Diceros bicornis minor: one gene and its partners. The protein of the gene in region 4 interacts with the protein of the main gene of each other region in a pairwise test. Links are inferred from orthologs where the notes say so. Each region holds a gene or a part of one and is shown on either strand. Other genes may lie near its edges.

The links.
Region 1: the proteins of CCDC102B (region 4) and ENKD1 interact in binary tests that used the Homo sapiens proteins (3 or more experiments, as listed by UniProt). The two-hybrid records come from large-scale screens. The link is inferred for Diceros bicornis minor from reciprocal best matches to the Homo sapiens genes CCDC102B and ENKD1.
Region 2: the proteins of CCDC102B (region 4) and GOPC interact in binary tests that used the Homo sapiens proteins (3 or more experiments, as listed by UniProt). The two-hybrid records come from large-scale screens. The link is inferred for Diceros bicornis minor from reciprocal best matches to the Homo sapiens genes CCDC102B and GOPC.
Region 3: the proteins of CCDC102B (region 4) and SPG21 interact in binary tests that used the Homo sapiens proteins (3 or more experiments, as listed by UniProt). The two-hybrid records come from large-scale screens. The link is inferred for Diceros bicornis minor from reciprocal best matches to the Homo sapiens genes CCDC102B and SPG21.

The regions. Positions count from the first base shown.
Region 1 is NC_080771.1:19,462,116-19,470,238, forward strand, and holds the start of ENKD1 (enkurin domain-containing protein 1), read right to left. Parts: upstream 3,066-8,123; 5' UTR 2,954-3,065; coding exon 2,740-2,953; intron 2,644-2,739; coding exon 2,449-2,643; intron 1,848-2,448; coding exon 1,675-1,847; intron 158-1,674; coding exon 32-157; intron 1-31. Other genes in the region: C32H16orf86 (uncharacterized protein C16orf86 homolog), read left to right, coding at 3,365-3,469, 3,688-3,917, 4,077-4,085, 4,293-4,510, 4,614-5,023. UniProt on the Homo sapiens protein: Microtubule-binding protein which regulates microtubule organization and stability. Promotes the stability of astral microtubules and facilitates the proper orientation of the mitotic spindle.
Region 2 is NC_080762.1:18,494,820-18,502,172, forward strand, and holds the start of GOPC (Golgi-associated PDZ and coiled-coil motif-containing protein), read left to right. Parts: upstream 1-4,160; 5' UTR 4,161-4,366; coding exon 4,367-4,654; intron 4,655-7,353.
Region 3 is NC_080744.1:59,337,308-59,344,458, reverse strand, and holds the start of SPG21 (maspardin), read left to right. Parts: upstream 1-4,147; 5' UTR 4,148-4,338; intron 4,339-7,151. UniProt on the Homo sapiens protein: May play a role as a negative regulatory factor in CD4-dependent T-cell activation.
Region 4 is NC_080755.1:58,670,824-58,678,774, reverse strand, and holds the start of CCDC102B (coiled-coil domain-containing protein 102B), read right to left. Parts: upstream 3,127-7,951; 5' UTR 3,118-3,126; coding exon 2,512-3,117; intron 882-2,511; coding exon 661-881; intron 1-660. UniProt on the Homo sapiens protein: During interphase, forms fibers at the proximal ends of centrioles to maintain centrosome cohesion. During mitosis, dissociates from the centrosome following phosphorylation to allow centrosome separation. Contributes to CROCC/rootletin filament formation.

The DNA of each region.
Region 1 (8,123 bases), on a different chromosome or scaffold from region 4:
CCCACCTCCCAGGCCCCACACATCCTCTCACCTTAGTGCTGGAACCTGGTGGGGTTAGCTGGGGACTGGGGACACGGGGTGGTGGGAGCCCAGGGCCACAGCGGGAATGTGCCCGTAGGAAGTGGGCAGGCTCTGTCCCAGAGGCAGGGCTGGGGTTCTGGAGGGCAGGACATAGCAGAGGGAACATTTAGGCTGAGGTCAGGGTCTCAAGCCAGAAGACCATGACTCTGTCGTTTCTGCCTCTCAGGATCTTTCTCTATCCCAGCCCTATGGGTCTCCTCCCTCTTGAAGGAACACTTCTCATCAGCATTTAAACATATGTGTCTTTCACATCTTTAAGAAAACAACAAACTACCCCTCCTTCTACCTCCATTCCTGGCTCCAGTTACCAATCTCTTTTTCTCTCCTTCCTAGCCAAGCTTCCAGACTCTGTCCCCACCAAGGTCACTGATAGCTGGCCTCCAAGCCCTCAAATCCAGGGTCACTTCCCTGATCTCATTGTCCTCGGCCTGATCCTCAATAACACTTGGATTTCACTTCCAAGATCCAGACCTGACTCTCCATCTGCTTTCTGGACACACTCCTACCCCCTGGGAGTCCCACAAATGCTTCAGCTTCAACAGAACAACATATGACCTTATTGTTTTTTCTCTCAATCCTGCTCCTTCTTCTGAGACCACTGGGTAGAGAAACGGTGCCACTATCTACCCAAGACAGAATCCCACCACCATAACCCTGTCCCTGCCCTTCCCACTGCCCTTAGAAATAAAGGTTGAGGGGCCGGCCCCGTGTCTTAGCGGTTAAGTGCGCGCGCTCCGCTACTGGCGGCCCAGGTTCGGATCCAGGCGCGCACCGACGCACCGCTTGTCCGGCCATGCTGAGGCTGCATCCCACATACAGCAACTAGGGGGATGTGCAACTGTGACGTACAACTATCTACTGAGGCTTTGGGGAGAAAAGGGGAAAAAAAAAAGAGGAGGATTGGCATGGATGTTAGCTCAGGGCTGATCTTCCTCACAAAAAAAATTAAAGAAATAAAAGTTGAGAAGTGGATTATATGGCCCTTTATGATGTGGGTTTAGCTGACTTAGCCTAACCTCGTGCTCTTCTCCCCTCACAGTGAATTGTACACAGCCTCCCCACGGGCCACACTCTCTCTGGTCTTAGGACTTCTATCTGTGAGGTTCTAGCTCTATAGAATGTTCTCTTCCATTCTCCCCTTGCCTAATTTCTACTTGCCCCTCACCCAGCCATCATCACTTCTGAGAAAGCCGCCAGCCCCACCCTGAAATAGAACCAGCTATCTCTTACTCCTCTGGTACATTAGTCCCCTGTGATTTTCCTCTCTCCCCATAACTCAGATAGGGTATAACTGCCTGTTGGGCAACAAAATAGACAATACCGGGGCCGGCCTGGTGGCGTAGCGGTTAAGTGTGTGCGCTCCGCTGCGGCAGCCCGGGGTTTGGATCCCGGGCACGCACCAATGCACCGCTTGTCAAGCCATGCTGTGGCGGCATCCCATATAAAGTGGAGGAAGATGGGCATGGATGTTAGCCCAGGGCCAGTCTTCCTCAGCAAAAAGAGGAGGATTGGCGACAGATGTTAGCTCAGGGCTGATCTTCTTCACCAAAAAAAAAAAGATAGACAATACTTCTGGCTCCCTGAGGCAGGTACCTGCAGCTGGGCCTTGACCCGGGACTCCACTTTGTCATATTTGGGCGAGCGCCACAGAGCCTTCAGGGGCCTGGGCTGGCCCTGCTCCCGGCTGCACTCCTGCTCACGGAAGCGCCTTTGGATCTCTCTGATCCGCCTCAGGTTCTCCTTCTCATGGTCTTTAGGGTCCTTCCCTGCGGAAAAGATGTTGCCAGGATCTTCCCTACATACAGCCCAGGCAATCCAACTCATACCAGTTCACACACAGGCCCACACCCTGCCCTCCTACAGAAACATCTCTCTGACCTCTCCATCCAACTTAGATCCTATACACATATTCCACCTCATCACCTTGTTCCCTTCCTGATATAGTAATCTTCTTCCATCCTTGATTATTTTCTACATTTTTATTGTGACGTATACCATTAATCATCTTGTATATCATATTCATCTCTTCACTTGTTTATTGTCTCCCACCTTGACTCGATGATGGCCCATGCTTGTCTTCAACCTTGTCTTCCTAGCACCTATAGGGCCTGGCACACAGTAGACACTCAGCAAACAACGTTTCATTGATGCTTGAATCCATGAAGCTGAGCTAGGGTTTCCCAGGGAATGACTCATTCAGTCCTCTCCTGAGAAGAGGTAGTGCATTTTCTCCTTCTTTTATAGTTGGGGAAACTAAGACTCCGAGAGGCAAAGTCTGAGCCCAGGTCCAGGAAGGAGGAGCCCCCCCTTTTGATCTCAGCTTTTGACCTCAGACTCGCCTCTCTGCCCCTTCTGCCCAGAACTTACTCTTGGGAGAGGCGCCTGGGCCTACGGAGATATCCCCGAATTGCAGCAACACGGCCCCTACGGCACGCCGGCCACGCTCCAGAATCTCTCGGGCTCCGGGGCTCATGCGGGGGCCGCGGGGAGGGGTGGCATCCTGGTCCGGGTCCGAAGTCAACAGGTTCAGCTTCAGCGCGTTTCCCTCAAGGCGCCCTTGGGCTGAGGGGCCGGACGGGGTGGAGTGCGGGGCTCAGTGGTGGAGCGGGGCGGGAACCTCGCTCGAGCCTCGCCTGGCCGCGGCACCCACCAACTCACCTGAGGACGGCCGCCGGTAGTAGTCAGGGCAGAGCGTAGGGTCTGGCGGGATGGGCCCCGAGATGCGGGACGGGCCCTCGCACATGCCGCCGTCGTCGCCCTGCAACGGTGGACCGAGGCCTGCCGGGCTGCGCATCTCCGGCCCCAGAACCCTGTCCTCAAGCCCCATGCCTCCTCCCTGGACCGGGCCCCTGATCCCGGCCGTGCCCTCCATTCTCTCCCGGCCCCCGCCCTGCCTCCCGACCCCGGCCTGCCCTCGCTGCCTCGGCTTCCAGCCCACTTCCCTGCCCGGTTCGCGGCCCCTCCCCCGCAACACCTGGGCAGGGGGCTCACCCGAGCCGTTTTGCCACCCGCCGCTGCAACCGGACGGGTTTGCTGTTGCCAGGCAACAATAGTTTCCGTCCCTGAGGTCAGGGGCCAATGCCCCTGGCGCAAAGCCCTCTGGGGCTTGTAGTTCCTGCTGAGGGTGGGGCAGAGCGGCCGCTAGTAGCCCTTCCCTGGCTCTCGCCTACCGGCCGATCTCCGCCGATCTCCAAGGTCAGCGCAGGGTCCACCAGTCCGGCCCCTCGGGGCCCGCCCCCCGCCGACCAAGCAACCGTCGAGGATGCGCTGACCCCGCGCAGCCATGGCCTCATCAGGGGCTCAGAGGCGGCCAGGGGCCCAGGAGGGGACGGCCGTGGAGCCAGCACAGCTCGCGGAGGCGCTAGGTGGCCGCGCTCAGAGCTCTGAGGTGAGGTGTCTCTAGCCTTCAAACACTTGGCCGCAGCGCTGTAGGAGGCCAAACTCTGTGCGATGACCCCCTAACTGCCAGGACAGGCTTCATAGGCTGGGAGGGTCATGGGCTGGTGCCCTTCATTCGCATTTGGTGTCTGATGTCAGGTGTCTAATGACTGATCCCTGTATCCTTTGCCTGGCCATGATAACTAGTTACCTATGTGTCACCTCTAGTGTCCAGTGATGGGAGTACAGTGCCTGGTGCCAGCCCATGAGGCCTGCCGGACCCAGGGTGCAGACAAGTATCCAGCAGGATCAGTGTCAGAGCCAGAGCTCCAGCAGGAACGACTCAAGCTGGAAGAAGAGAGGCTCAAGCCAGAGGTGGAGGCACTAGAGGAGAGAGGCCCCAGGCCTATGGCCTCCATTGTGAGGCTCAGTCATGGTCCGAAGAGGAAGCCAGTCAAGTGAGGGGGCTTTCAGAGGGAAGGAGCTGCAGAGCTGGAGGCGGGGCTGGGGGGACGACAACTCACAATCCAGTAGGATTCCTAAATCCATCCTGCACCCCTGCAGGGTGCATCCTTATGCCCTGCCACCATCACTCCTCACCCCTTCTGTCCTTCAAGAACCCTGGTGTAGGGACCATCCTGAGAGGTAGTCTCAAGGCCTTGAAGGGGACTGAGCTCACATGAACTCTCAGCCTCTGACCAGCCCGGGGCCTCACTGACCAGGAAAGGGACAAGAATCGGGTCCCAGGGTGGTGGGCAGGCAGGGCTATTCCCTAGGCTCAGGACATAGGAGTCAAGGCTGAAGGCTGGCTCCTCGGTCCTCCTATCCCCCAGCCTCCCAGGGCCTAGTCACCAAGCCCATCCTAGGGCTGAAACTGAGCTGCCACAGGGGCTGCCGCTGCAGAGGGAGGAGCCAGAGAGTAGCCAGAGTGAGCCGTCACTGTCTGCCAAACAGCACAAAAAAGCCAAGAAACGCAAGAGTCTGGGAGCCCCAGTGCTCCCAGCTGTGGCCAGCACAGTGTCTGCACCCTCAGAGACTTTGGGGCTGGAGCGTGAGTGGCAGTCCCCGGGCCTTCCTCTTTCCCCCTGCCTGCTGGACCCTTGACATGGCACGGCTTGGCACTCTAGCCCCTGCCCTGCCCTGGGTCCTTGCAGGAAAGGCCCAGCGCCTGCGGCCCCTGTACCAGTACATCAACTATTGCAACCCTGAGCTGAACCAGGCAGGGGAGGGAGACAGGGAGGTGGAGGCCGAGGTGGAGCCTGAGTTGGAGCTGACCCCGGTCCCTGAGGAGGCAGGTGTGGAGCAACTGCAGGCCTTGCTACATGTGGCAGGTGAGCTGGGCTCAGGCCTTACTTTGCCCTGCCCCAATACGTTTGTGTTCCCCACCCATGCTCTGGTTCCCCTGGGAAAGGAAGCTGGAGAGGAGCCTGGGGGTTTGCTCAGCTTGGGGGTCAGCGGCTGCCTCAAGGCTGAGGTGGATAAGTCAACTCAAGTGGACATTGACAAGATGCTAAGTATCTGTATGGCTCCACTTGTACCCCCACTCTCTCCTCAGTACAAGTGACTGTCCCGCCCCACTCGTGGCTCCCCTCCTCCCAAGCCTGAACCAGAGCAGCAGCCTATGGGCCTAGGCCCTCAGGTGGAAGGGGGAATTTGGCCTCTGCCCCCACTTGGGACCTTGGACTTGCTGAAAATAAACGTTTTCCTTTTCTCAGACTATGATTCCCCAAATAAGCTGCCTGAAGAGGGAGAGGCTGGGAAGAAGGGTGGAGGATTCCCCAGTGCACGGTTTGAAGCCTGACTGGTCATCTGGATTGCCCAGGAATTTGACAAAAATATAGATTCCTGGGCACTACCCCACATCTAACTGAATCAGAATCTGCACAGGTGGGGCCCGGTTCTGTGCATTTAAAGGCTCCTCAGATGAACCTGAAGGTTAGACAGGAGAACAGTGGGGATGGAGAGGGAGGTGACAAGGAGAAACTTGGGGCAGAGAAAGGAAAGGGACTGTCAGATCATAGGAAGCAGGTGCTTGGTCTTGCTTCATCTCCCAGGGAAGGGGCCTGCATTTGGTCCAACCTCAAGGAGACCAACACTTGGGATCCACCCTCTAGAGTGGCAGAGTTCACTTGTCTGCTCCAAGAGTGGCAGCTTTGGAATGCTTTCCACTTATTGCCAGACCACAACTGCACCAGACTTTGCCCCCAGAGTGGCCCCTGGCGACAGAGGCAATGGTGCCTTTTTCCTGACAGGCAGGGGGTGGTGGTAGAGGTGTATGTTCTCCCTGGAGCCCTGAGGCCAAGCCACCAGATGACTACTGCTTTTTGACCTCAGGGGTCTCTGGGAAGAGGCAGCTAGTGCTGGCCATTTTGGAAACTCTCATATCCTGCTGCCTCCTGATTTTCCTACATGTCCCTCAGACACTTTAAACACAGGGAATTCCAAATTAAATGAATAATTTCTTCTCTCTCCAACCTGCTTTTCCTCCTGTATCTCATCTACACAAATGTTCCAGCAAAAATCCTGGGTGTCACCTTGAAGGATTAGACTGAACTCAAGGGCACACATCACCACATTGTATCACCTAGCAGAGGGCCCCCATAAAAGGCATCAAGATAAGGAGACCAAGGTGGGGAGCTGAGGAAGCTGCAGAGAGGGACAGGTCAGGATCTGAAAGGCTGAGGCCATCCAAAGTCCAGAACCATGTATGGGGCCCCCGGAATAATGGCCTGGCAAGATCATCAGAAGGGATGGGGTGGGCAGGCCCAGATGGAAGAAGTAAGAAGAAAATGGGCATTATCCCAAGCTGCTCCCTCCGTTAGGGGTCATTTGGATGCTCCCTCCTTTAGGGGTCACCGGCCCCATGGCAAGGCCACAGGGTAAGCCATGGAGTCAGGATATTTCTTCTTTCTGCCCACACTTTTCCTTGGAAAGTGATTTGACTGCCCCAGGAGATACTGTCCACAGGGATGAGCATGGATTCTCTGGGATTTTTCAGAGGTAGAAGGCTCTTCAGATAACTAGCTTGAGCTCCTCACTATGACTGAGGAAGCAGAGGCCTGGAGAAGTGGCCTTGCATGAGACTACACCCTGGGCCCCAGGGAGGCCCTGCCCTTTCCAGAGCTCTGCAGATCTGTGGACCTGGGGGCTCTCTTGCTTGGACCCTGGGCCTGACCCAAGAAGGCCAAGCATCTGCTTTCTCTGTGTGGTCTCCAGGGCTGGAGGTGTGGGCCAGGCCAGCACTGATAAGGAAGCTCTGTCCCTATCTTTCAACAAGTGATAAAGAAAATACACAGTAACCATATTAGAAAGAACTGGTCTACATTTCCTGAGTCCTATTACCTGACAGGCTTATCTAAGCAGGGTAGCTGACAGAAGCCACAGAAAGGAACAAGTTACCATTACTGCTCCTAGAACCTCACTCTAAGGGGGAAATGCTGAGACAGCACGATACAGGGAGACGGGTGCCACGGAAGAGCCAAGGACCAAGGCAGTGGGACCACAAGTGATGGGGGTGACTGCCACTTTGCCTAGGGCAGAAGTAGTAAAGAGGCAACCCTCCAGCTGACTCCTGAAGGACAGAGTTGAGAGTTGAGACTCCAGGCAGAAGATATGCCAGGGACAAAGCCTTGCTAGTGTGAAAGAGATCAGCCCCGTGCAGGAGGGCCAGTTAGCGTGGCTGAAGCAGAGGCATGGCCATCAGGAGACCAGGTTGGGCGAGTCTGGAGTGATCAGGAGGGGTGTAGGCAAGGAGGGATCTTGGCCTGACATTTTGGAGAGGTCGTTTAGGCAGCACTGTGAAGGGCAGACCAAGGGAGAGACTGGGGCCAGGGAGGAAACTGCTGCCATTGTCTGAGGCCTAGATTTGGTTGGGGGTTGAAAAATAAGAAACAGGTATTTTGGAAATTCTTTTCTGGCTGCTGTATCAGAGAGGAAAAGCTAACTGCATTTTCACTGATTTAGAAAAACTTATATTTACTTTTGATGCAAGGAAGATCCTGAGATTTGGGAAACAGATCCTGGGAGGTGATGCTGCCTACCTCCAGGAGGGGGCGCTGCAGGACAAGCCTGGAACCATCTGTGGGCTCAGTCGCCCCTGGGTACCAGAACCCTGCTGGCTTCCTTAGCTACGGGCATCTAGGCCACTTCAAGGTACATCTCCTCTCTGGGACCAACTCGAGACACACATGATGGTAAAGATGTCTGAGGGATGGCCATGGGCCTGGCTTCTGGGGATTGCCAACAGAGGACTTGGTGTCCTCATAAGCCCACTGCAGTCTACCCCAGGACTTCTGGGAATTCATCTTTGTAAACAAGAGGTTTGCTCCAGAGCCCTAAAAAAACATAAGAAGTGCCACTGTGGATCTGCAACGTGGCGCTTTCTTAAGTAGGAGCATCTGAGTCAAACACAATGGATGCATGTGCTTTCTTGGTCAATTCCCAAACTTAGTAGGGATTTAAACACCCTAGTAACACACACAGGGACTGACCTAGAGCTGAGCTGATTGTCCCCAGGAGGAAGGGGGCAGCTTCTCCTTCTTCAACTCTATCAGAGTCTGGCCTGGTGGGGCTCTCTCTGCAGTCTGCCTCCTAGTTCAGGCCAGGCTGTGATTCCCGTTGCAGAGAGAAGGCAGTAAACTGGATGGGGAGCTGAGCAGAGAGGG
Region 2 (7,353 bases), on a different chromosome or scaffold from region 4:
CTGAGAAATAAACAGTGACTTGACAGTGGATGAAAGAGGAAGAATCGATGATTAGTAAACTCGGATACCACTGTTGATAAATGGTGGTTTTAGATAATGCTGACCCAAACCTGGAGCTGTGGGAAAGAGTAAATGAAGAATGCAGATCAGGTGACAGTGGAAAAGCAGTTATAGTCAGTCTTAGAGAGTGTCAGGGAATAAAAATATAGTATTAGGAATTTCTAAAATTGTTTTTTATTATGTTTTGTTTTTAGGTTTGGGTACATGATACAAAACATAGTTATCTCATAAATTTTAACTATGGACTAGGTAAAATAATTCTCAAAGCCTAAATTATATTGGAGTTATTAGTGAAATCAACCAGATTATTGTTAAATGAACCTTTCTTTTTAAGTTGGGAAAAATATTCTTTGGAATTTAAAGGAATAAGTATTTTATAGATATTCCTAACCCCTGAGCCAATATAAAAATATGTTCAGCTATGCTCTCTAGCAGGTATCAAAGGCATACCTTGGAAAGTGACTGCTTTTAGAATCTCTTACATAGAGTGTTGTAACATCTTAATTATTGAACTGACCACACAAATATTTTCAGCATTCCTACTATAGCCCAGGTCTTGTGTTAGGACTTGGTATTCAAAGATAGCAAGATACAGTTATTGCTGCCAAGGAGCTCACAGTTTAAGGGGCTCCAAAAAACATATGATAAGTGCTATAGCAGGTATTTGCAGGAAACTAAACAGCAATGGAGTCCATAGCTCCACATGAGGAGAAAAAAGGAAGGCTTCCTGGAAGAGGTGTCTGAGCTAAACCTAAATCACTGCAACAAAATTCTCAAGTTTTAAGAACAAGAGAGCAAACAGTTGTTCCGTAAGGGTATATAAAAGGAATAATCAGGAGAATGAGGCTAATAAATCTCTTTGGAATGCCCAAACTTACTTCTTTAGCATGTCTATCACAAAATTTCAAATTGTTAGTAAATATCAATAAATATAAATAATACACATGCATATGATATTCCAAGACTTTTCCCACATTGCTCCAGTAAAATGGTAGTGGGTTTTCCTTGGCTTTCTTTATTCATCATACAACTGTTCATAGCGACCAACAGCAATTACTACCTTTTCCTTTTCCTGGTTGGATTACTGGAGAGTAAATGAAATGTGTGAAGCTTAGTACAGGACCTGGTACACAGTAGAGTACAATAAATGGCAGTATCGTTCTCCATTCCAAGGTAGATCTTCTATGGCCATTCACCTCGGTGTCTTTGCAATTAATGTTTGAACTCTACACTAACCTCACAGCTAAATACCAGTACCTACCAGAGAAATCTTTAGCATGTTCCCTTTTTCCCCAGTTTCCTCAGTCTCTCCCCTATTTATTCTTAGTAATACCTTGTGGTAAAACTCTAGGGATAAGTTCCTAAAACAGGACTGTCACATTTAAGTTATAGTAGAAATGTTTAATCATGTAAGCATGATTCATGAAACAGCAACATTGCACTTATGCCAATGCAATTGCAAATAGAAGTATCATGATTTTATTATCTCTAGAAAAATAAACTCCACAAGTATTGAGATTACATACAATTCCAAATTCCAGAGTAAGTCAAGATAAGGCAGTAAATGTAATAGAGCTTGCTGACAGCAGATGGCAGCACTTGAACATCAAACTCGGCTCTTCACTTCCGTGTTGGTCTGTGACTTGCAGAAATGCAAAACCCCAATCAAAGTGGGCAAATGAGAATGTCCACATAGAGGGCACCTCATGAGTATTTGAAATAGTCACATAGAACCAAGATAGCAAGCACATAGGGATGTGGCAGCTGGTACATGGTGTGATAACGAGAAGAGACAATATGAGATGAAAGTATTTAGAGGCACAGAGGGTGTGATTTGTTGGAGTTGTAAAGATCACAAACAGAAATGGAGGTGGGTTCTACAATCCTGGAAATGGAGATCTTCAAAAAGGATCAGAGCACTCAAAACATATAAATACTTAAAATGCATTTCAGTTGAACCCACACAATACAGCAAGAAGTGGAATGACATTTTTTTAAAGAAACGAAATTTATTTTCAAGTGTAGTATAAACTAAAGAGAGTGATAAGTAATAGTGAGTATTACAATTACTTTTTTTTAAGGAACATTTCTTATATATTAATAGATTTGCATACGGCTTATAATTAGGAAGAAATTACTTTTTTGAAAAAACTTTTGGCCTGATTTGCCAATTTATTATACTGGTAATTTATACAAGAAGAAATGGATTCCCTCCTCCTTATATAACCCATGGTTAACAGCTAAGACTTTGGAGAAAAAGACATCTAAATTGAAATCTCACCTCAGTCGATTTTTAGCTGTGTGACCTTACCAAGATACTTAAGCTCTCTGTGGCTCATCTATAAAAAAGTGATAATAGCTTCCTCACAGGATTTTGTGAGGGTCAAAGAACTGAAGCAAATAGCACAATGCTTAATACACAGTATGTACTCAACAACTGAAAGCTATTCCTATTATTGTGATTCCATGTATGTGCCCTCCCTCCAATTTTACATTATTTACTTCAAATTCCTGAAAACGCATTGCTAACTATATTATGTATAGAGAAAGTGGCTGGCAACTTGGTAGCTGTACTGATGTTCTTGCAAATACTGAAATATTGAAATATAAAGTTAATTTGAAAAGGAATGGGGAAAGATGCAAATTTTAGTTTTACATTATTTTTTTGTGTATTAAAACCTGTATGAAGGTGCCTATTTAAGCTCAAGGCCAGGATCTCACCCTTAGTTTTGCTTAGCTAAGTCTGCTTAAGTCAAAGGACTTTATTGACCCATGTTAACCAGTCGGCCCTGCAGTCTCCAGACAGCAAACCAAACCTATGATTTCTTATTCCTCACTGGCCTTGCGTTGGCGAGGGGCACAAAGTGCTGGCTTTGGTGGTGATTAACTGGAAGAGTCTGTCCTATGAACAGATCATAAAAGAGTCTGTAGTCGGCCAGGAAAATATTCCCCTAGGCAATGCAGGAGAGACAGTTTCTACCAGCCTTCTCTAATCAGACTGGTTTCTCCGTCCTTTTCCAAGACCGGGCTACTCTTGAGTAGAAGAGGGTTAAAAGTGAGTAGGTGGAATGGTAAAGAGCAGTTGCTAAACACTCCCAAGGGTACTGCAAAATTCAAATTAAGTTGTAGCTATGCAGGTTAGACTCACTAGCCTGTGAGCTCTGCTTGACTAAGGGTCATGTCTCATTTATTTTTGTGTCCCCAATGCCTCAACAGGGCTCTGCATTCAATATATTTATGAATATGTGAGTCTTCATAATTGTGTTTTTCTGAAATGTCACATGTGGGTACACTGTACCAGTTTTTGAAATAAGTACACCTTTTGAAGTAGTTGCTTTGGAAATGCATGACCTGCGGTGTAATAAGGAATAGCAAGTGCCAAGCACTGAAGCTAAGCATTTGACCTCATTACTGAGCGTAGCAAATTTTGGAAACTGAGGCTTCGAGATTAAAGACTACAATGAAGACGGCACAGCTAATATGTGGCAGGGTTTAATACTTGAACCCAAGCCTGCCTCTTAATTACAAGACAAAATGTATTGTATTAATTCAGCAAAACCTGGGCAGCCGCTGTCCTTCAACGTGCAGCTCTAGGCAGTTTCCACCCAGAATTTAGGGCCTGGTTTACCAAGAAGAGCCAGTTTGTCCATCCACCCCACCCACCTTACCCGCCTCACCCTGAACAGGAAGTGGAATGGAAAAGGTAAAACGTGGCCATTGCGCATGCTCAGACCGCCCTTCCTCACTTTCCCTTCCCTGCCCCTGGACGACACCGCAGAAACTTTCCCGGACGACTTATAACGTCCTCTGCCCACTGTGAAGTCAGACGGGCGGAAGTCGTTCCTCTCTGCGACGTGGATGCCCTTCTCTTCCTCGAGCCGTTTCAACTTGGAAGCCGATATCAAGCGCCTCTGTTTCTCGAGTATTCAAACTGCAGTTTGCCAGTAGTCAATATGGCCGCTGACGGGCGGGTCCCAAGCAGAGGCTTTTCATAGGCCAAGGTCGCATCCTAGCCCCGCCCATTTCGCCCCACCAGGCTGCGTCCGTCTGGGTCTTCGCTACGCATGCGCAGCGGGGGCGGGTCGTGAGGTGGGACGGCCCGCGTCTTCCGTGTGCCGCCGCCGCCGCCTCAGTGTGGCTGCTGCTGCCGCTCTGGGGCTGCCTTGCCAGCCTTAGCCGCGCGAGGGGAAGGGAGGGGACCCAGGGAACGTGCGTGCGCGGGGGTCCCCGCAGTCCCATCAGTTCCTCTCGCGCGGGGTGGGCGGGGGGGGGTCAGCAGCAGTTGGGGGAGGCCCTGGACAGCGCCATGTCGGCGGGCGGCCCGTGCCCGGCAGGAGCCGGAGGGGGCCCCGGGGGCGCCTCCTGCGCCGTGGGGGTCACCCCCGGCGGGGTATCCATGTTCCGATGGCTGGAGGTGCTGGAGAAGGAGTTCGACAAGGCCTTCGTGGATGTGGATCTGCTCCTGGGCGAGATCGATCCGGACCAGGCGGACATCACTTATGAGGGGCGACAGAAGATGACCAGCCTGAGCTCCTGCTTTGCGCAGCTTTGCCACAAAGCCCAGACTGTGTCCCAAATCAACCACAAGCTAGAGGTGAGCTGCGGGCGCTGGAGGGGGTGGCATTCAACCCCGGTCGTCAGATTCTATTTAACGCACCAGGGAAGCGACCCTAGAAAACTGCCCACTAGGGCACCTGGGCTTCAAATGTGACGGGGGAGTGTGTGTGTATATGTGTGAAGGAAAGGAGTGAGGTGAAGTTGGAATAGAAAAAGGGGTGTAGATCGACGTGTGGGTCTCCCCGTGTCATCCACCTTCCTAGTATCTCTATGAGGAGGAAACAGGAACTAATTACACCAGCCTACTTGTACATATTACATTAACAAACCTAAGATTAAGCTCAAAGCTTCTCTGTCATAAGAATACCTTAGCCCACTCTTTAACATTTGGGTTTTTAGATCTCACATTGATAAACGAGGTATTTATGTCACCAGACAGATACACTCCTGATTATTTTTAACCATTTCAGGTCAAGGTCTGTTGTTGCACACAGACATACTCTTACCAGCATGCATGAACTAGTTAGGGGAATTTGATCAATGCTGTTAGGAAGATTTAGTGGGATAAACACTAAATAGTATCAGTATCCTTCTTGGTTTACAGTTGGTCTTTAAATTACAGGCGTATACCTCCAGAGCTCCCTACAATTATTTAAATGACTTCTAACATTGAGGTTTTGTTTATGCTTTACTATATTTCCCAAAATCTGAATTTATTTTTTAGAGTATGTGAAGAATGGTCATTTGCTTAAGTCTCTAATCTTGGTTGTGGGTGTGGGTGGATGGTGATGGTTCCAAAAAAGCAAAAAAACTTACCATATTGTGCACCAAATTAAATTAGTACATTATTACAGTATTTAGAAATCATGATAGATTAACATTATTACATAAAGAGCATTTTCTAACTAGATAATTTAAATAAGAGAATGGGTCTTCATTTTAAATAGATATAAATAGGATAATCAGTGATGTACAAAGTCCTTTGAACGTTAGATTTACTAAGAAATCATCATTGCTATCAGTTGTAATGCTTGAAAGTGCCCATTGGATCCAAATCAATATGAGTATCAGATATGCATCGTCTCCTTGCTTGTGGTTAGCATTCTTTCTCTTTCCTGTCAGTTAGCCATGAAAAAGGTGGGATAATTCATCTTTGATTAGCATAGAATTGCGTATCAGAGATTTTGTGACTCTTCTCCCCTGAAAGGACTGTTCATTTCTTCCATCCTTTTTGAAAAGGTTGAAGTGGGAGTGCCAGTAGGAAGCTAAACACTTCTTATGAAAATGTCTCTTGATTTCTTGATTAGGGGTAATTTCTAAAAGATATTTATTTTTCTCAGTTAGTGAAATTGCATTTGTTGGTTTTTAGAAATAGTACTTTAGGTTTAAGTAACAGAGCAAGAGTGGCTTTTACCACATGAGAACTTCCGTATCATTTACAACTGCAAGTATCTACTGAGAATAAACAGCTTTTAAAAAGTGAAACAATATCTAATTCATTTCTTTAATGACTTAAGGAAACTTGAAAGAGTGATATTTTGATGTCAGATATAAAATCTAATTTTGGAGAAAGGATCATTCTGTGAGTAGGAGGTGGTGCTCAATTTTTTTCATCTTTAAATATTTTAGATAAATATTCAGAGCTATAATAAATTATGCATGTTCTTTTTTTTCAGAAATTATAGTTACATATTCTGGCTCCATGCCTGGCTTAGGAGGTGGTGTTATTTCTCAAAATAAGAAATGCTAACCTATCACAATGTGAGCATATTTTTTCAACATGCCTGAAACCCTTGATTTAAAGATCTTAGAAAATGGGGAGGGGAGAGACTAATGTGATTTTTTTGTTGTTGTTTGTGTATTTTTTCAGTTACAGTTGACTTATCAAGTCTGTGGGGTTAATCCTTCTACATGTAGCAATTTCCACAGTTTTCATGGAATCAGTTGTGTATTGCTAAAGAGTGAGGTTCATTGTCAGTAGTGCCTTTGAAAGTAGATCTGCTGCTGTATCATCTACAGAATTTCAGAGGTTGCTCCGTATACTGTTATCAGTCGTCTGAGATCTTGAAATCTTTGAAAAAATTTCCATACTTTTTGCCCTATTTTATTTTATTTCTTGAATTCTATTTTTTTAAGGATATGGAAATTAAAACATAATATTTGAGACCACTTATGGTTTGGTATAACAAATGTGCACCAAAGTTTAGTGGTTTTAGAGACTAATACCTTAAGCCATATTACCATAATAAAATATCTTTATAATCAAGACACAGATACCTCCAGTATGGGTAGCTTATATTTAAATTGGTCTTAAATATCCTTCCAGATTACTCCTTCTTCTCTCCAGTTATTGTGTCTTTAGGTAACACCACATTTAATATTAATATAGTAGTTAGGAAAACAATTTTGATGCAAAAAAGTCATAGGTTACATTTTAAAATTAAATATGAATGACATCTATGTGACTGCTTCTTGCTGTAAGTTATATTTGGGGAGAGGGCTATCTATAAGGGAATGGGGAGGGCAGAGAATATCAGAATATTTTGAGAGAGTGCCATTGCAGTTTACTCACATCTCTCTTATGCTTCCCACTTGCTTGAGAATTCCTGCTGTGGTGAGCCACTGGGTGACGGCTGTGCTGGAGTCCCACGTACTGATGGGGGATAGTAGTAGTAGTCCTGGTAGTAGTAGCAGTAGTAGGTGTGTTGGAGTAGAACAAAGTTTGAGAACCAATAC
Region 3 (7,151 bases), on a different chromosome or scaffold from region 4:
TTCTTTATATTCATCAATTTCAAGGTAAAGATATATGATTTTGAGAGGCAGAGTCTTAGATTCAACAAACATGGCGTGAGCCCTGGCTTTGCCACTGACCGTAAGCCTGAGCCTGTTACTCACCCTCTCTGAATTTGTTTTTTGTGTGTGTGTGTGTGAGGAAGATCAGCCCTGAGCTAACATCTGTGCTAATCCTCCTCTTTTTGCTGAGGAAGACCGGCTCTGAGCTAACACCTATTGCCAATCCTCCTCTTTTTTCTCCCCCAAAGCCCTAGTAGATAGCTGTATGTCATAGTTGCACATCCTTCTAGTTGCTGTATGTGGGACGTGGCCTCAGCGTGGCCGGAGAAGCGGTGCGTTGGTGCACGCCGGGGATCCAAACCGGGGCCGCCAGTAGTGGAGCGCGTGCACTTAACTGCTAAGCCACGGGGCCAGCCCTGTATTTGTTTCTTTATCTACGAAATGGAAGTTGTACCTATTTTGCAAGGATTGCCGTGAAGAATAGAAATACTATACATAATTCACTTAGCACAGTGCCTGGAACACAGTAGGTTCTCAATACCGTTATTATTAGCTAACATTTATTGAGTGCTAGCCGTGTTTCTAAGGACTGCCCCTGAACTATCTTATTTTATTTTTACAATAACCCTGGGAGGAAGGTACTATTATTGACCCTCATTTTTCCAGAATGTTAAATAGCTAATAGTGGTAGAGCTAGAGTTCACACTCCAGTAGCCTAACACCAATCTGTGGCCTGAACCACTTTCCCACCCGGCGTGTATTTGCAAATGTTTGTATCCTGATCAAGGAATTTAATGTGCTAGGCTTTGGTGCTCAGAAACAAAGAAACAAAAGCATCTGTTAATTGAGTGCCCATTATATGCAGGCACTATGCTAGGCAATTCCAAAAAGATTTTCTCATTTTAGTTACTATTTAATCACTGTCTTTATTACCTCTAAGAATTCATAAAGTCTTCTAGAACCCTACAGATAGAAGCTGCTTTATTTTTTAGTATAATAGTGCAGCTCTTGTTTCCCAGGATTCTTTATTGCAGCTCTTCTTCCAGAAGGTAGATTATTGCATTGTTATTTACAGCAGAAACACTAATGAGATGCTAGGTTGGCAGATGATACAAAAGATGAAGTACCTTTGCTTAGGAACTCTTATTTTAAAAAGTTAATGATGGACAAACGAAGATTAACTTATCCAAGAAGTTCAAATACTGTTTCCATAAAGAGGCAGTTTTGTGTGCAGGCTACTTTTTTAAAGTTTGATTGGAAGGGAGAGGCAGTGAAGGGATTATCAGAGAAGAGCAGCTTTGAGGAAAAGCTATTGTAAAGATTCTGTACTACATCTCTTATAAATATATAGAATCTAAAATCTTAGACTGGAAAGAACTTAGAGATCATTTAGTCTAACCATGGACTCATTTTACAGAGAAGGAAACCACACCTTGAGAGAGAAGATGTCTTGCCCAAAGATAGAACTTAAGTTTCTTAACTCCTGGATGATAATAAATTATTAATTACAAATAACTGCATATAACTTGTTTGATAGGACTTTTAGGTAGCAAGCTATAGAACAGTCATGTCAACATCTTTCTTGGGCAGTTCCAAAATCTCCACTCTGGGTCTGACCCCTATAATCCAGTGTGGTATGTATTTCACACAGACTGGGTCTGGCAATAAGGAAATAGCATTCATTTTCAATCTCGGGGCTCAGCATAATTCGATATATAACATTGCAGCCAATTGTACCCAGGGAAGCTTTAAAAGGATGGTATTCCAAGAATTGGTATTAGTGTGAAAAACCAAATGTTTTATTCCTCTTTCATTTTTTCATACATCCATTGTTTCTGGGGGTAAAATAGGTGGGTCAAGCAGAAGGAGGCACTCTAAGTGGAGGGAAGAGCATACACAAACTAGGTTTGAGACCTCAGAGGGTGTTTGGGGCCCTTCCAGAGAGCCAGACCTGCTCTAGTATGTGCACCTTGGACTTTAGCTTGAAGTCAGTGGGGAGCTACTGAAGGATTTAGAGAGAGTTTAATTATTTTTTTTATAACATAATAATATATGAATACATTCTTATATAAATTCAAACACTAAATCTAGAGCCAAAGTTCTCCTTCACTGCCCCTTCCATTCTCCAGGTTCTCCTCAGAGGTAAGCACTATTCTGTTTGGTGTGTATACATGCATAAGAGAGATATCTAGGATTATCTTGCATGTGTGTTTTAAAACAAATATTATCCTGTCAAAAGATCAATTAGAGGGATAGAGCTTGTGTTTCAGCAATTCTTAGAACCAGCTAGCCATCTGTTTACTTTGGTGTTCAGAGTATTTTGTGAACATTCCAGTTTTCAAGTGTGATTCTTACACAGGGATTGGTGCTGTGGGAACCATATGGCAGACCCCAAACACGACAGATGCAAACCCTCACAGCCAAATCCACGAGGTCTGCCTGCACTGTGGCCTGCTCTGGGTCAAAAGTTTGCTCCCTGCAGTTGTGCAATCATAGGACAGCTGGAATTCATGGATATTAAATGTTCCTTGTTCAGATTAGGGAATAGACAATGTGTTTGCCATGTGTTATGGAACAACTGAGGATCCAAACATGACCACAGGGTCCTTTTCTAAGGGAAACATGTAGAATCTCAAAAGGGTTTGATCTTTTACATTGTAATAAAAGTATACATGTAACAAAACATATCTACATAGTGAAATGGTTTTTCATTATCCACAGTCAAGTTAAAAATTACTATTACCAAACTAACCAAATAAGGACTTCTAATATATTTGGGCATACCGATAGCTTAAGTCTATGCTAGGGTACTGGTTGAATCCCTCTGTTGCCTTTGCTCTAAACTAAATTTCCCAGCCCGCTTAGGGAGAGAGATAAATAATGTGATCAGCACCCATAATGGGTTTTACATACAACCAGTGATTTGCCAGTTATTCCATTCATTAAACTATTCCAAAGTTTTGAGAAAAAGCCCCAAGGTTAAAAATCTTCTGTGGAAACATGCTCTATACACCTATATGGCACTTTTAATAAAAGACCACTTCCTGTGACTGACTCAAAATTTCAAAAGAGGTGAATGGGGGGGTGGGGGGTGAGAATCTGTTACTGTTTGGAAATGCATTTGGGATTTGTCTAATTCTAGATGGGGACCTAAGGCTCCCGAGCCACAGGGCAGAGGTCATGACTAAGGACGCAATTTACTGGAATTCTCCCCTGACCTTGATCCCATAACAGTTGCCTGGGTAAGGGCAAAATCCAAAGGCCTTTAAACAGGGTACAAGTTTCTCCTAATACAGATTAGGGAGAGGATCATTCAGCAGGACCTTGTTGCAGGATCACTAAAAACTTCAAACAAGGAGATTTACCTATTAGTCAATCTTATCATACATTCTTTCAGCAAACCTGCATATTTTACTGAAAAAGAGAGTCGCGACATCTGCAACACCTTGTTTAAGAATAATTATTATAAATATATTAATATTCTCCATCCCTTTAAGGGAAAGTGATAAAGGAGCTAGGGGCTCGGTGGGAGCTGTTCCTGGAAATCCCCCAGAACGTCAGCAAAAGTCTTGAAACGGAGGTGGGAGCGTTACAGTGGAGGACTATGGAGGGCGTCTGTAGTTGTGCCAAAGGAAAATAACCTTGCCAAGAAAAGAGTATACAAAACCTTGTTCACCAAAGCCTGGAACCCAAAGAGGTCCCCTCAAAGCTTTACACGGCGGAGAGAAACCTGCTTCCTCGAAGAGGAGAGAACTGAAGGCTGACGCACGTCCCAAGGGGCCAGGCGCCCCCTCCTTCCACTCCCATAACCTCTCCCTCCGTGCTCAAATCAGACAGGGGACCTGGAGCTGACCCACAGGCAATTCGGACCTCCTCCCCGAGACCGCCGCCACCGCCAGAACCACGCCGGCTCCCCAATCCTCCGCATATCGCAGGATGAAGCGAGAGCGCCGGGAGTCTCTCGGCTGGGTCTTCCACCCGCCCCGTCGCCGTGGTGACCGCCGGAGACACGCAGTCCCGCCCCTTCCTCACGACGTGGCCCCGCCCCCTTCAAACCCGGAAGCGCGAGGCCGGCGGCCGCTGAACTAACAATTCGGGAGGAGAGAGCGCGGCCGCCCAGGCTCGCTTGGCCGCGCGCCCCGCCCCCCGGAGGCCGGCCTCTCAGCGGGCCCCCACTGCTCTCTGCGCCTGCGGGGCGTGTGGGCTCTGGCCCGGGGGCCCCCACCCGGGCCCAGCCAACCCCACGGCCGGTGCCTGTACTGGAGGGAAGAGCCTCCTTGAGGAGGAGGGAAAGGGACGTGAGGGCGGACACGGCAGGTGAGGAGTGGAACCAGGCCCTGGGAAGTGGGGGTGTGGATGTGTGATGTGTATGGAGTTGCAGGTAGGTGTGTATGTAGTGTACGTGGCTGCCTCTGTCCGTGTCGCTTTGTGAGTGTGGACTCGAGTGGACCGGTGCGTGTGACCATGCACGTGATCTCCTGTCCCTCTGTATGTGTGTGTGTGTGTCTGAGGTCGAGTAGTACATGGGGGTGGTCGGTGTGCCTGTGACCCTGCCTTTGTGTGCTGTCATCGGTGGGACTGGGTGAGGGTGGGGGTCTTATGTGTGGGTCGCCTGCGGGTGGGGGGAGGGGGCTTGACCAGGGCATCCTCCTGTAGTCCCATTCTCTGGCTAGGCAGCTGCAGCCCAGGAACATGTTTTTCAGTTAACTTTGAAGAACTCTGTGCAGAGGCCAGTTATTTTGGAGATTGCACCTCAGCCTGAAAGTGACAGATGTCTTTGTCATTGCTGAGTATGGGCCAGGTGTGAGGCTTGTGAATGAGGGATGAGGAAAGTAGCAGGTCAGGAGTCTCACTTTTCCTCTTCTCCTTTTCCTGGGGAGTTTTAAGTTCTGCATTTATGCTGCTGCTTTGTCTCCACCTACAATGTTCTAGCTCCTGTTGGCACAAAGATTCAAGAGACTGAGGAGTAACTTAATAGCTGTGTGCAAATTTCCAAAAGCTTTTATACCAAGACAGAGCACAAGATGAGGTGTCACAGAAGAAATGTCAAGTAGGCAGCTTTTCCTCCCATGAAGTTTAGAAGATAATGGAATAAGTTCCTGAAGAAAAGAGGGATAAATCTTCCCCTGAAGAGATCTAAAAAAAGGATAGCTATGTCCTAGTGTGGTGAGGTCTGGAGACTTGCATTGAAAAGCCAATTGCATGGCCTAGAGACTCTTAGGTCCTCATATTTTGTTATTGCTGGTATTAATAATAATCACAGATTGTCCATATGTGGATCAAATACAGATTGAGATAAAGGATCAGAAACCTCTGACTAGTTAAGCTGGTTATGTGACTTAAACATTTGTAAAGGCGATTTCATTGACTATAAACTGGCAGGTTCTGTTGAAACCCTGAAGGATAAGTGCATATAATTCTTGGTGCATACTCACAGCTGGCAGTTTCATTGTTGAGCAGTACAAGGGCTGAGAGGACTGGGTATGCAAAGCACTCCCCAAGGAGGGGTTTCCTTAGGCAAGATTAAGGCTAATCTCTGCGGCCCTTTTCCCACCAGCATGAACAGGTGATTTCGTGAAGAATTGAATTGTGAGAGATCAAATCAGTGTTGAGCTCATGGTCCACATTCTTTCCTATTTAATGCTGACTGGTTTGGTCGCAATCTCAGTTAACCTTTTTTGCCACATACAGAATGTTTCTGTTGTGACTTGGAAAAGTATACCCCGTTAGTGGATGAAAGAGAGCTAGGAGAACAAAATTTCTTTTCATACTGCTCACAGCTGCTTTCCCTTTGCAGCACTGAGCTTTTTTTCTCTTCAACGTCAGTTGGTCAGATGCGACATTTGGTTTCTATCTGACCTTTCATGTACTGCCAAACTAGCACAAGTGTTAAAATCACTTGCCTCTACAAACATTTAGTCACAGTCGGGTGGAATCTCTCCATCCAGCAAGATTAGTTATAAAATGTTATAACACCAGGGTGGTTGTGAACAATACTGAGGACTGCGGTAAGGAACGTCTTTCTGTTTATTGCTATGGGAAGAAGTGGATGACAGTGAATTTGTGTGCCTGTGTATGATGTGTATTTCTGTTGTAGTTTGGTTTGTACATTGCAACTCATTCCAAACTATGAATGATTAATTTTATCCCAAGTTTGGCGAATCTAGAAGCAAACTTTCTGGCTTTAGTTAGCTAAGGTGCTTTATAAATCTATTGAGTAGATTTTATTTGCTAAACATGTTTTTGATATTTCCTCCTGTACAATAGAGTAATTGTTTATAGTAATGCAGTACTAGAAAATGTTGCCATTAGGCAGTAGTTAGATGATATAGGAATATTTCAAGTCTATCCAGATAGAAAATATTCCAGAATTAACTATATGTGCTAGTTGCTTTCAATTAAAAGTGATAACCAGCGTAGAGAAAGGTTATATAGTTCAAATGGCTTAGATTTTTTAACATGTTAATATTTGGTAAGAGAAAATGGATATGCAAAGAGTGACTTTCTTTATTTCAGTATAATAATAACTACATCTGTGCACACTGATTTTCAGCATAAGACTGGCTGATGATTTTCTTGGTGCTTGAGAGCAACTTATGATTTTAACAAACTTTTCTAAAAGTACCATCTTAGTCTTGAGAGAAGAGACCATTATTACAATGTCAAGGTTGTTAATCAAGTTTAATATTGGATGTCTACATTTGCCATCTCCTTAGGGTTCAGTTTAGTAACCCCCCAAAAGGTTAGAGGTAACAATTGAGACTGCTGAGTGCCTTTTGTTCTTGAGGGAGCAGATCTGGAGGGCGGGGGAGGAAGAGTTCCACTGGGTTTAGAATCCCCTGTTCCTGGCCGGTCCAGAGAAGCCCCTCTAAAAGGACAGCTCAGAGAAAGCCCAGGAGTTAAATCCTAGAGTCTCGAACTCATCCTAGCTCTCCCAGGAAATCCAGGCTTGCCCTGGGGTAGAGGGAAGGACGCAATGCAAGTATTTGAATCCTTCCAGACCAGTGGGTGGAAGTTCCTCATTTGGCAATAAGAATCTGCAAGAGGGAACTATAATTTCAGGTTCCTGTTATGACCTAACGTGGATGCCTGAGCAAAGAGGGGCAGCCTCTAAATTAAAGATACTCAGC
Region 4 (7,951 bases):
TGCTCAAGAATCACGAACAGAATACTTGTCATTGTTGTTTCAATAATAACCATTGTTCTGGAAATTTTGGTATAAAACCATGGATAACCAGAACATAGGCATCACTATCTATAGTTTTACAAAGGAGACAATAGCACACTCTTGGCTAACCCAATATCGTATAGCTAGACTATCTCAGAACCAAGGTGAAAATCCACGTCATTTACTCTCAACTCTACTGCTCTTTCCTCTATACCACAAATGGTCAATGAATAAAGCATCTTTTTCTGCGATCAATAACTGAAAAAATTGTGAGTTATTCATCATATTAACATATTTATTCATTTTTATTGACTCACTGAAGTTTACTAATACTGTAAACGTTAGATAATACACTGGCTATTGTAACCATATACATTAATAATTCAGATATAACTAAGGTGAATCTACCAGAGATGATGAGAACAAGGTTACAATAAAAGAATGATAAAAACTAACACGTTATAAATTACTCTTCAAAATTAAAAAAATGAATATATGTCAAACTCATTTCTTAAATATTAGTACTTAATGACTAATTATGGGCAAAATACATTATCAAATGGCCAGTTTACTAGAGGCAAGAATTTTAAGAAGTTTGAAAATCAGACTTGGTTGAGGGAGACAATGATGAGCACTCACTCTCTTTCCTTCCATAAGATTTTTTGGAACTCATCCAAATGCACCTGCAAAGCTGCCATTTCAGGTGCTTCATTCTCCAAAGGCAGATGCATTGCTTGCGGTCTTAATCCAGGTGTCACAGCACAGTTTTCAGAACCACCGTTCTTGAATAAATCAGAACAATCTAGATTCAGTTTCATCTCCTCATTTAATCTTGATGGGTCAATAATCAAACCTTCTTCCTGAAAGGAAAAAATAGAAAACAAATCTTATTGGTGAACATTTAAATCTAGTGTAGAAAAATCATGAAGAAACATATTTTTGGAAAGAAATAAATGTTATGATTCAGCATCAAAGTCATATTTTCATGTCTTGATCATTCTCTCATTGTGTTACAAGGCCAAACTTTAACTTGCATTCTTCAAGCTTTTTTTTTTCTATATTCTATCTTATTATAATAAAACACATTTCTCTGAAGTCTTTTAAAATTTTTCATTTACAGTGGAATCTAAGTTATATCTACCACAAGTCCCACACATCATGGAAAGGCTTAAAATTTTAAATGGAATTGTAGAAGAGAAAGATATGAACTGATTTTGCTTTTAGAGATGGAATTAAATAGAAAGGGGTAACAATATAAACTGATACTATTTAAAGAGATAATATGGGGGCTGCCGCGGTGGCATAGTGGTTAAGTTCGCGTGCTCCACTTCGGCAGTCTGGGGTTTCAGGTTCAGATCCTTGGCGTGGACTAACGCACCACTTGTCAGGCCATGCTGTGGCAGCGTCCCATATAACATAGAGGAAGATGGGCACAGATGTTAGCCCAGGGCCAATCTTCCTTGGCAAAAAGAGGAGGATTGGCATCGGATGTTAGCTCAGTGTTGATCTTCCTCACAAAATAAATAAATAAATAAATAAATACTGCTAAAAAAAAAAATAAAGCGATAATATGAATCCCCAAAGTTTCCCAAAGTATGTTCCACGGGTTAACCGTTAATAGTATTTACAAGGTTTAAAAAATAAAACTGGGGGTGGTGGTGTTCATGGATAAATAAGTGTTATGAACTGCTAGATTAAATGAAGTTTTTAAAAGTTTATCTTGTGCAGAATTCTCAGAAACTTCAAGATTGCAAGTATACCAAGAAATTCCAAAACTGGGTAGTGTGAAGCAATCCCTAAAAGTATTTGCCTAGGGTACCTATTTTACAAGAATTAATTGTGAGGCCAGAGTCTCAAACCTTTAGAAATGTTTCTACTACTATACGGATAATGTACTATTATTGGTAGAATTAGGGTAAATGGGGAGAAATATCTCCAAATATTTTTTCACATAAAAAAAATGCTAGGTTAATTTTTGCTAAAAATCTTAGTGATATCAGCAATATGGGCTGAATTGTGTCCCCCCAAAAAGCTCATTTGTTGAAGTGCTAACCCTCCTCCAGTACCTCAGAATGTAACTACATTTGGGGATTGGGTCTTTAAAGAGGTAATTAAGTTAAAACAAGGTGAGTAGGGTAGGCTTACTGATGGTATCTTTATAAGAAGACGAATCTTCAACACAGGTACATACAGAGCAAAGACTATGTGAAGACACAGAGAGAAGATGGCCATCTATAAGCCACGGAGAGGGGCCTCAGAAGAAACCAACTCTACTGACACCTTAATCGCAGACTTCTAGCCTCCAGAACTGTGAAAAAAAACAAATTTCTGTTGCTGCAGCCACACAGTCTGTGGTACTTAGTTATGGCATCCTAAGCACACAAATACAGTCGCCATTGGGTGTGTCATTTTCCCCTTCCTCCTCGTCACTATATAAAGCATTCAAATATGCGCATAGTCTCTGGATTCCACTGTGGGTTTTTTCCTCACCTTACTAGTTGTGTTCTCCTTTGTAGGAAATTCTCTTCTTAACAAACACTCTCTGATAGACTCACACGTTTTGGAACCCATTTGAAATTGGTCTCTTTGTGCACAGGACACTTCTATGAAACTAGGACGCTTCAGGTCTTGGGTAACTCTAGCCTCTAACACCTCCTTTTGATGTGGCAAACTTTGTTTCTTTTTCAGTGCACTCAATTCCTTCATTGTCATCTCTAATTTTATTCTGAGTTGTCTTCCTTCCTCCCTGGCACTGTTCCTTTCTGTGCGAACTTTACTCCACTTCTCTCTCCAGTTGGCAGTGCAATCTGACCACCACCGCATGGTCTTCTCCATCTGAGCAGCTCTGGCCTTGACTTCTTCAAGTTCTCGCAGGCGAAGTTCTTCACAAATATCCCATTCGTTGGTGTTGCGTGAGTGAGCACAGAGGTCGTGAGCTGCATGGGATTGTAGCCCATAAAGTGGCACACAGGAGTTACAGGTATCTCTGTGGGAGGAGGCAGGTGCTATCACGTCACAAGTTGGTTTAACTGATGACTGCTGCATCTGGAAGATTTGAGTTTCCTCAATTAGCCGATGAATAGAATCTAAATTCATATGTATGTTTTCAGGCCTAAGAAAAGACAGAAAAAAAAATCAAATAATTAATGTTTGAATTTCTTTGCAATGACAAGAACAAGACCTACATTTAAAAAAGAAAGTTGATGAAAACAATACATCTTTTCAATATTGCATATTTTCCTTTCCACTGTAACTAAAAATATAGAGGAATTTATACATTTGTAATTATCCTCAAAGAAACAGAAATTGCTTATATTAAATTTTGCCAAATAAAAATAAAATTATAAAGATGCAATTGAGGATAGAATGCAACATGAATAATTCATTTTAAGAAATCCAATGTTTTTCAGGTAATATTTATTGTAACACATATTGCCCATTAGCTACTCAATGGTCCCTTTTCCCCTGCTAATTAAAGCACAGTTTGTTCAGGTGGAATGCAGAATCTATTCATCTCTGGGAGGAAAAGCCCCCATCCCAATCCCAGGGCTCAATCATGATTGATCTCAGTCTTCCGAGATGACCTCCATTTCACTGATCATTCACTAGTCTCAAGGCAGCATAGGAGCTGGTTCTGGCTGCTGAGATGTGAGGGGAGGTCTGCCAGAGAAATTTCTCATCTAGAAAAATATGAAAACATCAGAACGAAAAACTCTTTTTCCTCTGCTTCTTCCTGCCTGAACAAAGATGAAGGCAAGTATAACAGCCACCCTGTAACATTTAAAATGGTGGAACAGAAAGATGAAAGGAGCTTGATTTAAGGATTGAGCTGCCGCATGAAACCCAGAAGGCATGCCTCTGCCTTCCCTGCTGTGCGAGAATGATGACCTATATTTATTTAAGCTCTGATTGGTGAGTTTTCTGTTACTTGCAGTCAAAATGACATTTAATTGATACATGAATTAATTTCCTACTATGGTTAATATTATGATACGTTCTAAAAATAGAATATTATGAATAAGACATGGTATTTGTCCTTAAAGATTTTATAGTCCAGTGTATGACATAAACACATATAATTTAAAAATACCTAATTCACACTGTAAAAATTATATTTATGTATGCAATCAATCTTTTCTTAGTACACATTACTTGTCAAATCAGTGTTAGCTTCCTAGGTTGTGTACAAGGTGCTCTAAGGAGCTAAAGAAGTGATCAGCTGTCTCCTAGAAATGAAAAGGCTTCACAGCCTAGATAACACTGAACACTGTCTTAGCAATTTCAACTGTTTATAAAGGAATTAAAAATTTCCATATAAATAGCAAAGATAAATTAACTGGTAAATGCAAAGCTTTCTTATCAGTATGTATATCCATTACTTTATTCATTATAGCAACATAGCTATATTAAGGATATAACAAGTAGACCTTTTCTTTAAAATAAATGCTTAAAACATGCAGGTTAATCTACAAATTAATAAAGTTCCGTGGTTGTATAAGATTACCCATTTTTATTATCAAATAAGATATTCTGGTATAAATGATCTTCGGTAACATTTTATATACTTGACATTAATTCCTCTCATTTTTTTCATTTGCTTTTATATAGTTACAGATCATAAACTGTCTCCTTATGAGCCATCCATTTAATCAACTGAAGGGGTTTCATTATACCAATAACTTACAAAATAAGTCTCTAGTCACTGAAAAAAATGACTACACAATACTAAATGTACATCACTTTCAGTTGTAGAAAAAACACATTTTAATAAGTGCTCTGTAGAGGTGCCAAACCAACTCACTCCTTATTACAACACTTATTATTATAATACAGATTCATGGTTGTAATTATTTTGGTTAGCGTTGGTATATGTCCAGTCATATTTGAATTAGTGCTGATTTGGAGTAATTATTCCCTTCATTTACTGTAATTCAGAGGGCAATGATAATATAACTGACCAAATTTCTTGGACTATCAGTAAACCAAGACCATTAAAAAAGAACAAAAGCGGGACCGGCCTGGTGGCGTAGCGGTTAAGTGTGCACACTCTGCTTTGGTGGCCCAGGGTTCGCAGGCACGGATCCCAGGCGCAGACCGATGCACCGCTTGTCAAGCCATGCTGTGGCAGCGTCCCGTATAAATCAGAGGAAGATGGGCACGGATATTAGCCCAGGGCCAATCTTCCTTGGCAAAAAGAGGAGGGTTGGAATCGGATCAGCTCAGGGCTGATCTTCCTCGGTCACACACACACAAAAAAGAACAAAAGGAACTCTTAATTAGAAGCACACCAAAAATTTTATCTACATATTCATATATATATATCTTCATTTTTCACTACTTAATGGTATTTCTTTTGGTTGCATTTCCAAATTGAAGATAGAAAATTTATTTCAGTATATTAAGCTTAAATCTATTCTTGCCATTTTTCAAAATAAATCAATATCATTAAATTGTAATGTCTTTAAAAATGTCTCATTAACTTTTATTTCACTAGTGTTTTGAAGACTCTATAATTGGATTCTGGTACACTGAGATCTTGCCTACCAATTAACTATGTATTTTTTCACATTGGACTAAACAATATTGAGCTGGGTTTAATCATTCAGTCCTTGAACTTCAATAGCATTTCCTGTTCTAAAGTGTTTCTCAAACAAGTGTAAATCAGCATATTTACTCCTCGTGTGTATGTATTAAAGCATTCATTTTCCCTACACATATGTGGGTACTCTTCATGTTTTATTTCAGGTGATTGTGAAAGTATTTGTCAATGGCTGTAGCACAAAGCCTTTGATGTATGGGAAAATATTTTAATGCTATTGACTCTTTGGTTTCTTACATTGATTTTTGCATTGTGCCTACCACAAAAGGGGGGTTACAAGAAAACTCTTGGAGGTGATGAATATGTTTATTACCTTGATTATGGTGATGGTTTCATGGGTGCATGCATATATTTAAATTCATCAGCTGTATACATTAAATATGTGCAGTGTTTTATATCAATTACACTTCAATAAAGCTGTTTTAAAAAGTTCATACAATCAGGCTACCATGATTACTACAAGTAGTTTTGAATGTAGTACATCACCAAATAAATAAAATTTGGTGGGTCTACAGTGTATAGATAACATTACTAAACCTGTTATTTCTTGCTAAAGAGGAGCTTAATGTGTAAGACATTGGGCTCCAGACTCTATTGGTTCAAGTTCTGACTCTGCCACTTTCTAGATAGATGACCTTGGACAAATTACATAAACTGCCTTTGACTCATATCCTTATTTGTAAAAGGAGGCCAAAATATCACGTATCTCACTGAGTTCTTGTGACCATTAAATGGGAAAATGCCAGCTCATCGGCTGGCCCAGGCTGTCTCTTAGGCAAGGTGACAGTTTTTCTCAGCGGTATACAAGTTACTAATATGTCACTTTGGACTATTGTACTATTTATTTTTTTGAGTTTCCTTTCTCTCTTTCAAAGAAAAAATGGTATACTTAAAAAACAGGGAGAGCGACATATAAATGAGATTTACAAAAAAGTTCTAAATTTCATGAAATAAAGGTATAATATCAATTTCTACGTCATATTAATATTATTCAGTGATATATTCAGTACTATTATCGTCTCTATCCTAGAGATGAAGAAACTAGGGCTTAGGGCTCTAATGTAACCAGCCCAAGTCATACACTTAGAAAGAGTCAACCCAGTTTGGGAATTAAAGAAATTTGAATACAGAGCCACCGCCTCTTTGTATCAAAAATCTACTTCAAAATTTCTAGCTTCAAAATATCTATTTTCACTGTAGTAAGATCACCTTTTGGATTATTTCAGAAATATATTTGGCAGACTTCCATTTCGAATAATTTTATGCTCAAATATCTCCCATTAAATCGCACCACAATTAGTCGATTGATCCTGACGTTGAGCTTTGAGTGAATTCAATCTCCTCATCAGAGCTTAAGGGAACTGTATGCAAAGTCTGGGGTTTGTCCACCCCTCCAGCCTCCTCTTCGTCATTCTGCTTCCATGTTCCATGCTTCCGCCACCCAGGTGTGTCCATTCCTTGCACAAACCTCACCTCAGTGGTCTCCTTCGTGCAATCTGATTGCTATGCAGGAGCACTCTCCCCTCTCTCCATACACCCCCCTCCTCCTAGATTCCCATTCTTCAGGTAGCAGCTAGTGGGACCTATGCTTGACCGTCCTCCATTCCTTAGAGGCCTACAGCTGAGCAGAAAATCTGCCTTTGGCCTCCTCTGTGATAGTGAACAAAACAGACATGGCTTCTGCCATCCTGGAACCTTGTTGATAACAAAAGCAATAAATCAAACTAACAATCACAAATGTTAACTGTCTTTGAAAGAAATAGTGTACATACCTACATACTTAGAGAAGTCTCTCTGAAGTGACATCATATGTATTATCTGAAGAATGAGGTGAACCAAAAATAAAAGCATTTTTGGCAGAAGTTAAACTATCAGGGCAGACTAAAACAGGGTCCAAAGGGATTTTTGTTTTATTGTTTATACTTATTGCTTTCCATTAACCTATAGGAAATGAATTCTAAATGAAACCCTGCTTGGATCTTTTTTCCCTAAGAAGCACAGGATCTCTAATGCACCCATAATGATGTAATAAAATCCATAAGCAAAGAGAAAATAGATTCATACAGATTCAGAACATGATGTTAAGGAACGGTTGTTGCTATAGATATGATGCCATATACCCCGATAAAAAGAGAAAAAATAAAGATCAGTTTTCAATATTCAGGAAAGTACCCATCATACTGTATTTTAAAATGTGGCTTGTCAAACATGCACACATGATTAGTATAAAAACTTATGCATTTTGTATGGGTCTAAAGTAGAAAAAAATAATGTCTTTTTAGGAATGTTTTGCAAGAGAATACTAAATATTAAAAGTGAAAACTGCAGTTG